Linked DNA regions of Callithrix jacchus. The protein of the gene in region 2 interacts with the protein of the main gene of each other region in a biochemical or structural test. Links are inferred from orthologs where the notes say so. Each region holds a gene or a part of one and is shown on either strand. Other genes may lie near its edges.

The links. The genes of interacting proteins can lie anywhere in the genome.
Region 1: the proteins of LRRK1 (region 2) and ECHS1 form a complex in vitro, tested with the Homo sapiens proteins (2 studies listed by BioGRID and IntAct, with this or other methods). The link is inferred for Callithrix jacchus from reciprocal best matches to the Homo sapiens genes LRRK1 and ECHS1.
Region 3: the proteins of LRRK1 (region 2) and TCF25 form a complex in vitro, tested with the Homo sapiens proteins (2 studies listed by BioGRID and IntAct, with this or other methods). The link is inferred for Callithrix jacchus from reciprocal best matches to the Homo sapiens genes LRRK1 and TCF25.

The regions. Positions count from the first base shown.
Region 1 is NC_133513.1:126,692,483-126,698,364, forward strand, and holds the start of ECHS1 (enoyl-CoA hydratase, mitochondrial), read right to left. Parts: upstream 3,335-5,882; 5' UTR 3,318-3,334; coding exon 3,230-3,317; intron 1-3,229. UniProt on the Homo sapiens protein: Converts unsaturated trans-2-enoyl-CoA species ((2E)-enoyl-CoA) to the corresponding (3S)-3hydroxyacyl-CoA species through addition of a water molecule to the double bond.
Region 2 is NC_133507.1:8,918,465-8,922,400, forward strand, and holds part of LRRK1 (leucine-rich repeat serine/threonine-protein kinase 1), read right to left. Parts: intron 2,687-3,936; coding exon 2,513-2,686; coding exon of another isoform or gene 2,509-2,512; exon of another isoform or gene 1,244-2,508; intron 901-1,243; coding exon of another isoform or gene 816-900; exon of another isoform or gene 611-815; intron 302-610; coding exon 1-301.
Region 3 is NC_133521.1:47,506,059-47,511,977, reverse strand, and holds the start of TCF25 (ribosome quality control complex subunit TCF25), read right to left. Parts: upstream 3,335-5,919; 5' UTR 3,283-3,334; coding exon 3,091-3,282; intron 3,024-3,090; exon of another isoform or gene 2,793-3,023; coding exon of another isoform or gene 2,784-2,792; intron 1-2,783. UniProt on the Homo sapiens protein: Component of the ribosome quality control complex (RQC), a ribosome-associated complex that mediates ubiquitination and extraction of incompletely synthesized nascent chains for proteasomal degradation.

The DNA of each region.
Region 1 (5,882 bases), on a different chromosome or scaffold from region 2:
GGGGATCTGTTCACACAGGGATCAAACTGAAGAGAGCGGGCGAGAGGGCAGAGGGGGGATCTGTTCACACAGGGATCAAACTGAGGAGAGCGGGCGAGAGGGCAGAGGGGGATCTGTTCACACAGGGATCAAACTGAGGAGAGCGGGCAAGAGGGCAGAGGGGGATCTGTTCACACAGGGATCAAACTGAGGAGAGCGGGCGAGAGGGCAGAGGGGGATCTGTTCACACAGGGATCAAACTGAGGAGAGCGGGCGAGAGGGCAGAGGGGGATCTGTTCACACAGGGATCAAACTGAGGAGAGCGGGCGAGAGGGCAGAGAGGGGATCTGTTCACACAGGGATCAAACTGAGGAGAGCGGGCGAGAGGGCACAGGGGGATCTGTTCACACAGGGATCAAACTGAGGAGAGCGGGCGAGAGGGCACAGGGGGATCTGTTCACACAGGGATCAAGCTGAGGAGAGCGGGCGAGAGGGCACAGGGGGGATCTGTTCACATAGGGATCAAACTGAGGAGAGCGGGCGAGAGGGCAGAGAGGGGATCTGTTCACACAGGGATCAAACTGAGGAGAGCGGGCGAGAGGGCAGAGGGGGATCTGTTCACACAGGGATCAAACTGAGGCGAGCGGGCGAGAGGGCAGAGGGGGGATCTGTTCACACAGGGATCAAACTGAAGAGAACGGGCGAGAGGGCAGAGAGGGATCTGTTCACACAGGGATCAAACTGAGGAGAGTGGGGGCTGGTCTTGGCCTATCAGGAAGCAGCGTCATCATTTCACATTGTGATTATTTCCTGATGCTCCCTTCTAGAAGGGATGTGGCCCCATCAGCGGATAGAGTGTGACCCCAAGAGGCCCTCCGAGGGCTCCCTGAGCAGTGCTCAGTGGCTCCAGGTGTAGCTCTCAGCCACATGATTATATGGTGGCCTTGGTACGGTTCTCTCTGTTTTCACGTGTGTTTGAGCATGTCCTGAAGAAAAATCCCCAGCACAGAACATAGCCCAGAGCCACACTCCTTCTCCCAAGAGGCCGTGGTCAGCTGTTCCCAGGACACTGCACTGGAGACGGCCCTGGACTCTGCTGAGACAAGGCACCAGGAAGCACCCTCCTTCGACAAATGCCAACAATCGAGGGTAAGCCTCAAACAGGACAGAGCGCCAGCTCCTTGCTGCAGGTCGGGGTCAGGTGAAGGTGCGGGGTCAGGCGGGAGGGGTGAGGGTCGGGGTCAGGTGGGGATGTGGGGTCAGGCGGGGATGTGGGGTCAGGCGGGAGGGGGATGAGGGTCGGGATCAGGTGGGGGTGTGGGGTCAGGGGGGAGGGGGATGAGGGTCGGGATCAGGTGGGGGTGTGGGGTCAGGGTGGAGGGGGATGAGGGTCGGGATCAGGTGGGGGTGCGGGGTCAGGCAGGAGGGGAGAGGGTCGGGGTCTGGTAGGGGTGCGGGGTCAGGCGGGAGGGGTGAGGGTCGGGGTCAGGTGGGGATGTGGGGTCAGGCGGGAGGGGGATGAGGGTTGGGATCAGGTGGGGGTGTGGGGTCAGGTGGGAGGGGAGAGGGTCGGGGTTAGGTGGGGGTGCGGGGTCAGGGGGAGGGGTGCGGGTCGGGGTCTGGTAGGGGTGCGGGGTCAGGCGGGAGGAGGATGAGGGTCGGGATCAGGTGGGGGTGCGGGGTCAGGCGGGAGGGGAGAGGGTCGGGATCAGGTGGGGATGTGGGGTCCGGCGGGAGGGGGATGAGGGTCGGGGTCAGGTAGGGGGTGCGGGATCAGGCGGGAGGAGTGAGGGGGTCAGGTGGGAGTGCGGGATCAGGCGGGAGGGGGATGAGGGTCGGGGTCAGGTGGGGGTGCGGGGTCAGGGGGAGGGGTGTGGGTCGGGGTCTGGTAGGGGTGCGGGGTCAGGCGGGAGGGGGTTGAGGGTCGGGGTCAGGTGGGGGTGCGGGGTCCGGCGGGAGGGGAGAGGGTCGGGATCAGGCGGGAGGGGGATGAGGGTCGGGGTCAGGTGGGGGTGCGGGGTCAGGCGGGAGGGGTGAGGGTCGGGGTCAGGTGGGGATGTGGGGTCAGGCGGGAGGGGGATGAGGGTCGGGATCAGGTGGGGGTGTGGGGTCAGGGTGGAGGGGGATGAGGGTCGGGATCAGGTGGGGGTGTGGGGTCAGGGTGGAGGGGGATGAGGGTCGGGATCAGGTGGGGGTGCGGGGTCAGGCAGGAGGGGAGAGGGTCGGGGTCTGGTAGGGGTGCGGGGTCAGGCGGGAGGGGTGAGGGTCGGGGTCAGGTGGGGATGTGGGGTCAGGCGGGAGGGGGATGAGGGTCGGGATCAGGTGGGGGTGTGGGGTCAGGTGGGAGGGGAGAGGGTCGGGGTTAGGTGGGGGTGCGGGGTCAGGCGGGAGGGGAGAGGGTCGGGATCAGGTGGGGGATGTGGGGTCCGGCGGGAGGGGTGAGGGGGTCAGGTGGGGGTGCGGGATCAGGCGGGAGGGGGATGAGGGTCGGGGTCTGGTAGGGGTGCGGGGTCAGGCGGGAGGGGTGAGGGTCGGGGTCAGGTGGGGATGTGGGGTCAGGCGGGAGGGGGATGAGGGTCGGGATCAGGTGGGGGTGTGGGGTCAGGTGGGAGGGGAGAGGGTCGGGGTTAGGTGGGGGTGCGGGGTCAGGCGGGAGGGGAGAGGGTCGGGATCAGGTGGGGGATGTGGGGTCCGGCGGGAGGGGTGAGGGGGTCAGGTGGGGGTGCGGGATCAGGCGGGAGGGGGATGAGGGTCGGGGTCTGGTAGGGGTGCGGGGTCAGGCGGGAGGGGTGAGGGTCGGGGTCAGGTGGGGATGTGGGGTCAGGCGGGAGGGGGATGAGGGTCGGGATCAGGTGGGGGTGTGGGGTCAGGTGGGAGGGGAGAGGGTCGGGGTTAGGTGGGGGTGCGGGGTCAGGCGGGAGGGGGATGAGGGTCAGGGTCAGGTGGGGGTGCGGGGTCCGGCGGGAGGGGAGAGGGTCGGGATCAGGCGGGAGGGGGATGAGGGTCGGGGTCAGGTGGGGATGTGGGGTCCGGCGGGAGGGGTGAGGGGGTCAGGTGGGGGTGCGGGATCAGGCGGGAGGGGGATGAGGGTCGGGGTCAGGTGGGGGTGCGGGGTCCGGCGGGAGGGGTGAGGGTCGGGGTTAGGTGGGGATGTGGGGTCCGGCGGGAGGGGGTGCGGTCTGAGGTCTGGCCGGGGGTGCAGGTCGGAGTCGGAGGGGATCCGGGTCGCCGGCTGTCACCGGGCACTCACCCGAGGCGAAGGGACGCCACACCGAGCTGTGGATCGGGGGCCTCAGTGGGCCGCGGACGCGGGGCAGCAGGACACGAAGAGCGGCCATGGCTCTCTCCACTATTCGCCCGGCCCGGGAGCCGCCCCCGCGCCTCACCACTCAGGGCTCGCCCCGCCCACAGGCCGGTGCCGCGAGACCAGGAGGGCATCGCGAGATCGGCCCGGGCGGAGTGGGCGGGGCGTCCTCCTGCAGGCCCCGCCCCCAGCGCCGCGCCCGCTGGCGGATCTAAGGGCGCACCTGGGTCCTCGTCCTGGGCCCAGCACCCTCCAGGCTCCTCCGCCTTCTCCCGCGCCTCCGCCCAGGCCGTCGGGGTGCCGGCCGGCCGCGGGGAGACCGCGCTGATGCGGGGCAATGGCGGCGCCTGCCCGGGTCCGCGTCTGCAGCGCCCGGCGCGGGACGGTGGCAGCGGCCTGGCCATTGACGCCACATGAGCAAGAGTTTCATTTTCAGGTACATAGGACTTAAGCACATTTAAACAATCAGTGCAATTTTGATCCATTATTTTATTTATAACTTTTCAATATCTAGACCAGTATCGTCGAGCATCTACTTTGTGTCCTTGCCCGGATTCTGCAAAAGCCAGGGTGGACGTAAAACATCTACAAATGGAAAGCGAACTGCTGCTGTGACCGGCGAAGGCTGCCCAGGTTCCTGACGTCTTCAGCAAAGAACTGGACAAAACGCACATCGAAGCAAGGAAAGACTGAAGCAGCGAAAACAGATTTATAGGAACATGACAGTGTGGCGGGGTGCGGTGGCTCTCGCCCGTAATCCCAGCACTTTGGAAGGCCGAGGTGGACAGATCACCTGAGGTCAGGAGTTCCAGACCAGCCTGGCCAACGTGGTGAAACCCCCTCTCTACTAAAAATTCAAAAAATTCGCTGCGTGTGGTGGGGCACGCCTGCAGTCCCAGCTACTTGGGAGGCTGAGGCAGGAGAATCGGTTGAATCCGGGAGGTAGAGGTTGCGACGAGCTGAGATCACACCACTACACTCCAGCCTGGGCAACAGAGCAAGACTTCATCTCAAAAAATAAAAGAAAAAAAGAGTGCTTGCTTTGGCAGCACATATGCTGAAATTGGAATGACACAGAGATTGGCATGGTTCCTGTGCAAGCATGACCTGAAAATTAATGAAGTGTTCCATGTTAAAAAAAAAAAATGGCCAGGCACCGTGGCTCAAGCCAGTAATCCCAGCTACTCAGGAGGCTGAGGCAGGAGAATTGCCTGAACCCAGGAGGCGGAGGTTGCGGTGAGCCGAGTTCGTGCCATTGCACTCCAGCCTGGGTAACAAGAGCGAAACTCCGTCTCAAAAAAAAAAAGTAACTTCACAGTGTGTGTGCAGCCGAGAGTAGGGGCTAAGGGCCCCGTTACACAGCTTTTTGGGGGGTTTAAATACCCTCTAGGAGTTTTCACTGGTTCCTTGGTGTACACCCTATATAAATGGAGAGGACATTTCCTGTCACAGCTGGTGTTTCCATTTGATTGAGTTCTAGGGAGTCAGCCTGAATTGCCCCTAGGTTCCTGGCCTCCAGACCCTGTTCTCCTCCTCACTATGTTCCAGAAAATAATTCAGTTCAAACCAAAAATGAACACACACCAAGATTTCATTTCAAGACTGAGGGTGAAATAAAGACATCTCGTGTAAGCAGAAAGAAATAACCAACAAACCTTTACTAAAAGATGCTCTGTATTAGTGTAGGTTAAACCTCTGGGACAGAGAGGCCCAAAATGAAACAGCTCAAACAGAAAAGAGGGGTCTCTTTTTCTTCCTTCCTCCCTCCCTCCCTTTCTTTCTTTCTTTTCTGTCTCGCTGTCACCCAGGCTGGAGCGCAGTGCTGTGATCTTGGCTCATTGTAGCTTGCACTCCCGGGCTCAAGTGTTTCTCCTGCCCCAGACTTCTGAGTAGTTGGGACTACAGGCACGCACCACCATGCCTGGTTAATATTTGTAGTTTTTCAGTAGAGTTGGGGGTTTCGCCATGTTGGCCAGGCAGTTCTTGAACTCCTGACCTCAAGTGATCTACCGCCTCGGCCTCCCAAAGTGCTGGGACTACAGGAGTGATCCACCGTGCCTGCCAAGAGGTTTCCTAACAACCAAGAGGTTGGGTGGCTCCTGTCCTCCATCACGTAATTCACAAGCAACGAAGGGAAGCTTAAAACTTTTGTCTGCAAGGACACTACCAAGTTAGCGAGAGAACTGAACAGACATTCCTCCAGTGAAGAGCATCCATGTCAGACAAGCTCTGAAACCATAGCGATAGAATGTCGCACCTACGGCGCTGGCTGCCATAAGCCCAGCAACCATCGGCACTGTGGGGGATGTGAGCGTGGGACACTGGCACGCTGCCGGCGGGAGTGGAAGTGTAGCAGTCGCTGTGGAAAACAGTCTGTGCTTTCCTCAAAAGGTCAAACAGCAATTCCACTCTTCAGCGTACACCCGAGAGAACTGAAGACAAATGTCCACGAAAACTTTCATAAACTTGTTATGAATAATGTTGCTAAATACGTTCATAGCAACTTTTTCATAACAGCCAAAAGGTGGGAAAAAGCCAGTTGTCCATCAACTCATAAACGGGCAAACAAAACATCATATATCCAAACAAGGGGTATGTT
Region 2 (3,936 bases):
ACTCGGGAAGCTGAGGCAGACAGGAGAATCGCTCGAACCTGGGAGGCAGAGGTTGCCGTGAGCTGAGACCATGGTGTCATTGCAATCCAGCCTGGGTGACAGAGCAAGACTGTGTCTCAAAAACAAAAACAAACATGCAAAAAAACCCCACAAAGATTCTTGTCTGTGTGTCCAGTGACAGTGCCTGACACTTAGTAGGTATTCAAGAAGGAGTTGCTGGCCGGTTAATCTCTGCCAATCCGAGGGTGGTAAGTGACATTTTACTGCTGTCTTCAAGTCTTCAGGTCTGTTTCCTTGCTGTCTGGTGAGGTCAAGCATTGATGTTTAAGGGTCTGTTTCTTTGTAATTCAATTGCTGCCCATGCCCTTAACCTGTTTGCCTTTTGGGTTTTCTATTTCTTATTGAGTTTATGTTCTCTCTAATAAAGGTAAGTGAGCTCTTGGTCTCTCATTTGTGTTGCAAATATTTTTTTCTTCCTCAATCGATACTTTCAAGCTTTGGACTAATTTTTCCATGTAAGTTTCAGTTTCATGGAGTCGAGTTCATTAGTCATTTCCTGTATGATTTTTTTTAAGAGTTGGGTCTTGCTGTGTCACCCAGGCTAGAAAGCTGGTGTGATCATAGCTCACTGCAACCTCCAGCTCCCGAGCTCCGTGGATCCTCCTGCCTTGGCTCCTGGGTAGCTGGGACTGGAGGCCCATACGATTTCTAAGTGTGGTGTGAAGAGATCCCTTCCCCTGGCTCTGTGAGGCCCGGGGCTGGGCTTTTCCTGGAGTAGGAGAGGGCGAGTTTGGTGCCTACAAAGCAGTGTGGCTTCAGGTGATGCCAAGTACAAGCTTGGGACGTGGGGCAGACAGAATCTGGCTTGCATTTGGGGGTGAACTGGGCAGCTGTGGTGCACTGGAAATGAGAGGAAAGGGAGAATTGGTCCCCTGCAGCCATCCTGTGGGACGAGGGTGAAAGAATGGCAGGGAGGAGGGCAGTAAGCACAGACCCTCAGCCCCCTGGGACTTGGTGCCCAGACTGGTAAAAAGAAAAAAAAGTGGGAATTGTTGTTTTTTCCAGGGCTGTGACTGACAGAGCAGGGTCTCCACCCATGGAAGCTGCTCAGGGACCACCTGCATGCAGGCACAGTGGGCGAGGAGGGGCTGCCCGTTACTCCCAGCCAGCGAGTGGGTCCGGCAGGGGCTGAGCCTGTGCTGTGGTCATAAGCGCTCGAAAGACAGAGGCTACAGCTTCATTCTTGAAAGAATCTGTTTATTTTCAGGTTACAAGAGCCTCATCTCCCTGCATCTCCAGCAAATACACAGTTTGATCTTTATAATTTTAGAAAAGGGTCAAGAAACTTCAGCTGGAGTATGATCTCTATTCAAACTTGCGTTCTGATTGAAGGAGCCCCAAACGGTAACTCTGGACAAAAAAGTGGCTCTGTTTGCACGTGCGTGTGCCTATGTGGTGTGCCTGAGCGTAATGCATGCACGCGCATAATTTATAACATATTTGCTATTGTATCCGTAAATCCTGTTGACAGTTTTTCTTTTCGTACTCTGCTGTACACGTGTGGAGTGAATGTTTAGCAAATACATAATTTGGTATAAATCCCATACAATCTGATTTCACAACCAGAAGCCTGACCGCTGAGATATTACTGAAGTTTTTAAAGTGATAAACAAGATTATTATGTGCAAACAAACAGGGTTTGTGCTCCAGCTGCGTCCAAATTTACTTCACAAAGCTGTAAACACAAGGCCCTTTCTCAAGTACTGCTGATTGAGTTTCTCCTTCCTTTTGTCGCTGGAGAAGAATGTAAAGGCTGAGCTGGTGCCCTTGTACTATGGAACCCTGGGTTTTCTGGCTGTGAACTTAAAGGAACTCATTCATTCTCTGGATGGGGGCAGCACTACTCACCCAGGGTCCTCGGAGGGCTTTCCCACACAGAGACCTTCCTGAACACAGAGACATCTGATCTTGGCTTGCCCAAGCTGGCCCAGGCCTGGGGGCCTCAGGAGCTTGTGAAATGTGCTGAGAGCCTGGGGTCTCCAGGGGGGAAAGGGCAGGGGTCACAGCCCCCACCTCCTGCTCTACCTCAACTGCTTCCCAACAGAGGGCCCCTAGTGTAATTCCATCTGAGACCTGGGGATGGAAGGAAGGCCTGGCCCGTCTTTGTTTGAGCCAGCTCAGAATAGGATCCTCCACCCTTGCTCCAGGAGACTGATGGAGGAGGCCAGAGGAGGCCCCTCCCAGCCAGATCCCACTGTCTTCCCTGGGGCTGTAAAATCAGCAGTCGGGGTATGGGGTATTCAGATAACTCTGTTCCAGAAAACCGGAGAACCCTGGAACCACCACCACCAGGCAGGTCACTTCTCAGCACTTCTTAGCAGCGAGGAGTTCAATGGTGAACTCCATCTGTCTTCTAGGGCCTTGGAGAACTAGAGGCTGATGGCAGAGGGGTCAGGCTGCAGCCCGGTACCAGCCAGCTCTGCACGCGTGACTGTCATTCCACAGGAATTACCTTCTCTTGCGTGTGCAAGCCTCCAGCCGGCCCAACTCCTCGTAGGACTGGTAGAAAATGTCAAACTCCCTGGCGCCCCAGCCCCTCCAGACAGCCAGGCACCACTCCGTGTTTTCGTTTTCAAAGCTGCACACCACCGTGTCCTTTGCCACCACAGCAGCATCCACCAGCACCCTGCAGAGAAAGGGGTCTGAGGAAACTCACAGGGGTCCGACTTGGGTGGGGCCGGGACCCCCATCCGGTGCCATCTGAGGAAGGCAGAGCTGGCTAAGGGGACGGGAATGTGTCTGCCTGCCAGTCCTCTCCCAGGTGTGCTCAGATGCACCACTTCTCCTGAGGGCCCCGCCTATGAGCCTAGGCTTTATAAAGAGCAAAGTCGAGCTGTGGGCATGAGTTCATGTCCATGAGCTTTTTCTGTGCGAATCTGACTCCCTGGAAGGCCACAGAGGCAATCAGATCAGGCATCCTTGACTCGGTCCCCAAAGGGTCTTGAAAACACCCTCGACCCAAATGTCTGCTTGTGAATGGCTCATGACCGCATTTAACTCAACTCCCTTGCCACTAAGCTCCCTGTGATTCTTCTCTCCTTAGGAAATGCAGGATCATATACTACATGGGAAACCTACTGCCCCAGTCAGCAGTACGTTTTTGGAAACTGGACAGTTTTGCAGGACCGGTAGATGCGCAGCAAGTTTCCTTTTGGGCCACAGTGTGGCCTCCCTGCCCTGGGGGTGCCCCACCCTGAGCACCTACTAACTGCCCTTCCTCCTCTGTGCTGTGTGTGTGTGGCCTGCACAGCGCCAAGGCGCTCCTGCAAATTGGGATGTCCAGAGGCCTCTACTCCACATGGCCTTGCCAGGGCCCCCTTTAGACTGGCTTCTGGGGCCTCTTTCTCCCTGTGGTGGGAAAAAGGTAAAATCTGGCTTTAGGGGACAGAAAAGCAGCAACAGCTAAAGGTTAGGATGGTAATGGCAGGTGCGCCAAGGACCTGGGTGCTGCACACCCATTTCCTCCAGAAGCCCGACCTGCAAGCTGGCAACTCCATCAGCTCCTGGCTGCCATCCACGGGCTCCACCAGAGCTCAGGAGCACATCCAGATCTTGCTTCCAGAATCACTTACAGAGCAAGGGTCACTGGCCCAGGACTCACTGCAAAGGTTCAAAGCTGGTGGGCACGGGAGTGGGATGTCATGGTTGCTGCCTTGGTCATGGTCCCGCTCTGGGAGAAACACACTGACCAGGGTTTCTTCACCCTCTTATGCTCCAGATGAAATAAAAACCCACTTGCCCACGGATGGGGATAACGCATGCTGCAGGGAAACAGGCCTAGTGCAAAATGGAAGAGCTCCAAGGTACACACACACACACACACACACACACACACACACACACACACTTGAGGGCTTCTCATAAGAGAGATTTGCC
Region 3 (5,919 bases), on a different chromosome or scaffold from region 2:
GGCAACATAAGGAGATCTTGTCTCTAAATAAAAAAATAAATTTTTGCTTCCTTTTTGATCCGCCATCTGCACCTCAGGTAGGGCCGCCACCAAAATGCAGATTTTCATGAAAACCCTTACGGGGAAGACCATCACCCTCGAGGAACCCTCGGATACAACAGAAAATATAAAGGCCAAGATTCATGATAAGGAAGGAATTCCTCCCAATCAGCAAAGACTGATCTTTGCTGGCAAGCAACTGGAAGATGGACGTACTTTGTCTGACTACAACGTTCAGAAGGAGACTACTCTTGTCTTGTGTTGAGAGGTGGTGCTAGGAAAGGAAAAAGGAGTCTTACGCCACCCCACGAAGAATAAGCGCAAGAGAAAGAAGTTTAGGCTGGCTGTCCTGAAATATCGTAAGGGGGATGAGAGTGGCAGAATTAGTCACCTTTGTAGAGAATGCCCTTCTGATGAACGTGGTGCAAGCCACTTTGACAGACATTATTGTGGCAAATGTTGTCTTACCGCTTCAACAAACCAGAAGACAAGTAACAGTTAATAAAAGACATGAACTAACAAAAAATAAATAATTTTTTTTTTTAAAAAAGAGACACACCGTGTCTCTCACCAAAGTATTCACATTTAGAACCATTCAGTTCTAAGTGTCTGTTTAATGTCTCTCACACTTGTTTCTTACGAGCTAATTTCACAGCAGAACACCAATAAACATTTCCATTGTATTATTTCCAAATGTGAGTTATAAAGGCAAAAAAATATAGAATGCTTAAAATGGGACTGACGTGTACCATGGGATAAAACTCCTTGACATGGCTGAGAACACAAGCACGGTGAGCAGTCACTCATCCACGCAGGCTGTCAGTGTTACTGACACTCCAAACTCACTCCAGGAAGTCCACAAGGGTTAATGTGGTTTCTGACCTTAGGGACTCTTATTCCATCAACTTACAAGCCACACTTTTTCCAAATTCCCACCAACACAAACATAAATGCCAAGAAGATTAAATATTTAAATGAAAAACAAAAGCACTAAAAGAACAAGCTGGCCACAGTATGGTATACCATAGTCCCAGCTACTCAGGAGGCCGCAGCAGGCGGGTCACTTGAGCCCAGGTGTTCAAGACCAGCAACCTGCCTAGGCAACACAGAGAGACCCTGTCTGTAACAAAAAAAAAACAAGACAAGACTCTGCATAAAGTCACATCAGGAAAGATCTATGTGAAGACATCACAGAGAGACCGACTTGTAACAGTTACAAAAGCGGCTCCAGTATCTTTCGGCAGAAATTAAGGAAGTGAAAGAACAAATGCAAACTGAGAAAATACGTTAAAGAGAATCGGTAGTGAGCTTTCACGAACATAAAGACTTTTTAAACTCTCTATAAAAAAGCAAAGGATATAAAAGGGTTGTCACAAAGAGACTATAAAAGGCCAACAAATCAACAAATACATAGCTACCTGCTGAATTTCACTAACAAAGTGTAAAATAAAATAATGTGATACAATTTTTGACAAATTATATTGACAAAATTAAAACGACTTATGGGGGGGCCAGGCTCCATGGCTCACGCCTGTAATCCCAACACTTTGGGAGGTAAAAGCAGGCGGATCGCAAGGTCAGGAGACCTTCCTGGTCAACATGGTGAAACCCTGTCTTTACTAAAAGTACAAAAATTAGCCGGGCGTGGTGGCGCACAGCTGTAATCCCAACTACTCAGGAGACTGATGCAGGAGAATCACTGGAACCCGGGTGGTGGAGGTTGCAGTGAGCCAAGATCGCATTTCTGCACTCCAGCCTGGCAACAGAGCAAGACTCCATCTCAAAAAAAAAAAAAAAAGGACTTACGGAGCTGAGCACAGTGGCTCGCCTATAATGCCAACACTTTGAGAAGCCAGGTGAGAGGAATCTTTGAGCCCAGGAGTTCAAGGCTGCAGTGAGCTAGCACTGTGCCAGCACTCCAGCCTGGGCAACAGCAAGACTCCATCTCAGGAAAAAAAAAAAAAAAAAAAAGTTTTCAGTAACTGCTGTGATTCTAGCCAATTACTGAAACTTGAGGGTGGTCTTGGGGACCCTGAAGTTGGAATTGATGTCAGAAAGGCAGTCAGCCAAGCATGGTGACTCAGAACTGTAGTCCAGCACTTTGTGAGGCTGAGGTGGACAGATGTTTGAGCCCCGGAATTCTAGACCAGCCTGGGCAACAAGGCGAAACCTCAAATCTACAAAAAAAAAAAAAAAAAATTAGCTGGGCATGGTGACATGCACCTGTAGTCCCAGCTACTCAGGAGGTTGAGGTGGGAGGACTGCAGAGCCCGCACAGGCCAAGTTACACACCAAGGCCAGGACTTAAGACAAAGCCTCACAGGACCGCATGGGCAAACCATTTACTCTGTGCCAGAAACACGCAGCCTGAGATACAGCGAGGAGCAAGACAGGAGGCCTTGGGTTAGGCAGGGTTGTTGTGAGGATTGACCGAGAGTGCTCAACCCTAGAACCAAGAGAAGGCCCTTCAAGTTCGGAGAAGACCCACTGCACTGCTGCGCCCCACCCCTACCCCTACCCCATGGCCTCACCCCCACGGTGGCCCCAGTCCCCAGTTAACCCAGCCCACGCCATCACCTCTCCCCCATGTCCTTGGCCACGCACTTTAGTGTCAAGGCCCCACCCTCGCTCCGCTGGCCAGAACCCCCGTTTAACCCCGCCTACGTCGTGGCCCCGCCCCACGGACGTTGACCACGCCCCTCGCATCATGGCCGCACCCCCTTCACAGCCCGGGCCCCGCTTACCCCCGTCATTCGGTCGCCCGGCTCCGACGGTATGGCCCCGCCCCATGACGGTAGTATGATCCCGCCCACCTCACTGGGGTTCGAACCCAATGTAACTCTGCGTCCAGCTATCTCGACCTCACGCCACCGCCCACCCCCATCGCCCCGGCCCGACGCACGGCCCCGCCCTCCCCACTGCAGCCGGGACCCACGTCACCCGATCCACCCCTGGTATCACGACCCCCGTTCCCCGACCAGACTGGACGCTCGCCACGCCCCGCGACGTCACGGCCCACCCCGCCCCCACCCCGGCCGCCGCGATCCTCACCAGCTCGAACCGGTTGTTGACTCGGACGCCCTCCTTCCCTGCCTCCCCGGGGCGCCGGCCACCCAGCTCCCGCTTGAGCCCTTCTTCTTCCGCGTCATCGTCATCACGGAGGTCGAACTGCAGGGCGCCGGGCCCGAGGGGCTCCTGGCCGCGCTGTTCCCCCCTCAGCCTCCTGAGGGCCCGGCGCGACATAGGACCCAACGACCACGACGTCTGGAGAGAGAGAGAAGGAAGCGCAGAAAACTCAGCGGACCGCGCGCCTGCGCGCTCCTGGCGTCGGGGGGCGCTGGCTGCGGCGCCTGCGCACTCCTGGCGCGAGCGGCGGGGGCGGGGCCTGTCGTACGGCGCCTGCGCGTTGCGGCTCTCCGGAAGTTCCCCGCCTCAGCCGTGGCGTGTGGGCGGTCTCTGGCGGGTCCGGGTCAGGTTTTGGGAGCGCTAGGCACCTGTGCCCCGCGGGGATGACGGGGTTTGATGCCGGGGAAGGGGCGCGCAGCGGGCGACACTCGGTCCTGGCAGGCCTTGCCCATCCGTGTGGCCCGGACCCCGCAGCCGCGCTCTGCCCGCCGGGTACCGCCGCCAGGGCCTGTCCCCGCTCCGGGCCTGGAGCGTTTCAGCTGCGTCCCGGGCGCTGCTCGTTGGTTCTTTTCGTGTCACCGTAGTCGAGTGATCTGGCCGTCGATGGCGGCCTCTGCCGTGGCCTGGAGCCGCCGCCGCCTCGCGCACCGGTGACGGACGCGGCCTCCTTAGGGACAGGGCTTCTGAGCAGTTGTAGGACACGCCGCCGCGTTTACCACGATCTAAGGGTCGGACGCGGTGCTCACGCCTGTAATCCCAGCACCCGGGGAGGCAGAGGCGGGCGGATCACCTGAGGTCAGTTTCCAGACCAGCCTGGGCAACATGGTGAAACCGTCTCTACTAAAAATACAAAACGTTGCCTGCGATCCCAGCTACTCCGAAGGCTGAGGCCGCCGTGAGCCGAGATCGCGCCACTCCACTCCAGCCTGGGGGACTGGACCAGACCGTCTCAAAAAAATGAAAAACAGATGAAATAGAGGAGGCTGAGACGGGGCTCGGTTCAGTGGGCGGACGGCACAGCTTCCTATGCGCGAGGTTGGGGACCTCGGGCCAGGCGGGCACAGAGAAGACGGGTGCCAGCAGCCTCCTGAGCCCAGGAAACAGCGCTGGTGGGCCGGCCCCGCCCCTCCCAGGGTGGGTGAGGGTTTTATTTTCTGAGAAGAGTCTTGCTCTGTCGCCCATGCTGCAGTGCACTGGTGTAGTCTCGGCTCACTGCAGCCTCCAACTCCCAGGCTCCCAAGTATCTGGGACTACAGGCATGCAGCACCATGCCACGCTACATAGTACAGAGGGGGTTTCACCATGTTGGCCAGGCTGGTTTCCAACTCCTGACCTTAACTGATCCACCTGCCCCGGCCTCCAAAAGTACTGGGGTTACAGGCGTGAGCCACTGTGCCTGCCCTGGGTTAGGGTTTTGATGGGGGCTTTCATTTCCAAGTGTTCCTGTATGGATGACAACCCAGTCTTCCCATGATAGGGAGTGTAAGCCCCTGTGGAACCAGGAGAACCACAGTTGTCCTGAGTGCTACACATTAGCTTTCTTACTGCTGGCTATGTGACCAGGGGAAATTCCTGACCCTCTTTGTGCCTGTTTTATTTTTTATTATTTTTTTGAGATGGAGTCTCACTCTGTCACCCAGGCTGGAGTACAGTGGCACAATCTTGGCTTGCTACAACCTCTGCCTCCTGGGTTCAAGCAATTCTCCTCCCTCAGTCCCCGAGTAGCTGGGATTACAGGCATGTGCCACCACACCTGGCTCATTTTTAGTAGAGACAGGGTTTCACCATGTTGATCAGGCTGGTCTCGAGCTCATGTCGTCGTGATCCGTCCACCTCAGCCTCCCAAAGTGCTAAGACTACAGGCGTGAGCCACCGTGCATGACTGTTTTCTTAGTTTTAAACAGGAATAAAAATACAGGGCCAGCAGGAGGCAGAGGTTGCTGTGAGCAGAGATCACGCCATTGCATTCCAGACTGGGCAACAAGACCCAAACTCTGGAAAAAAAAAAAAAAAATTCTGTCTCAAAAAGAAATACACACACACACACACAGCCGAAGCTGGCTGATTTTATTGGGGGCTCTAACTGTGTGTGTGGATTTCCTGGGCCCCAGCTGATAGGAGTGTTTCTCCCACAGGCCAATCTGTTACAAGTCAGATCCCTTCCTAACCTCCAAGCCCCATGGCTGGCATTACAGCTTGGGGCCAAAGTTCCTGGGTGAGCTGTTTTTTTGGCCAAATTATTTTACCTGGTTGAGCCTCAGTTTCCTCATGTGTAAGGTGAAATGAAAGCAGAGCCTCACAGAGGAACAGGGCAGGGCGCTGTACCAGGCTGAGCCAGGCACTGGTGGGCAGACAGCACTGGGCACAGGGCCTGTCCAGAGCCTGTCATACCTCCAGCCCCTGTGATTCCTCTCCCTGGAGAACAAGAATAGGGATCTGGGAAGTGAGACTAAACTGTCCCCCAGGCCAGCAGATGTGGCCAAGGGAGGTGATGGGATGTGGTCTGTGCTGTCTGCCTGCACCCCTAACCAAGGTGGCCAGGACCACGGAAGCTGGTAGAGCCAGCCAGGGCTGCAGGGACAGAGCAGGCCTGGGACCCTTGCCGGGTGGGCATGCAACTGTGCTAAGCCAGGGAGGCCTTTCCTGGTCCTGGAGGGCAGGTGGCCCCTCAAGCTGAGCTTCAATCTTGGGAGAATATGCCCACTGCCATGCTGGGCGCACCCTCAGTGCACATCCAGACAGAACGTGAGACTT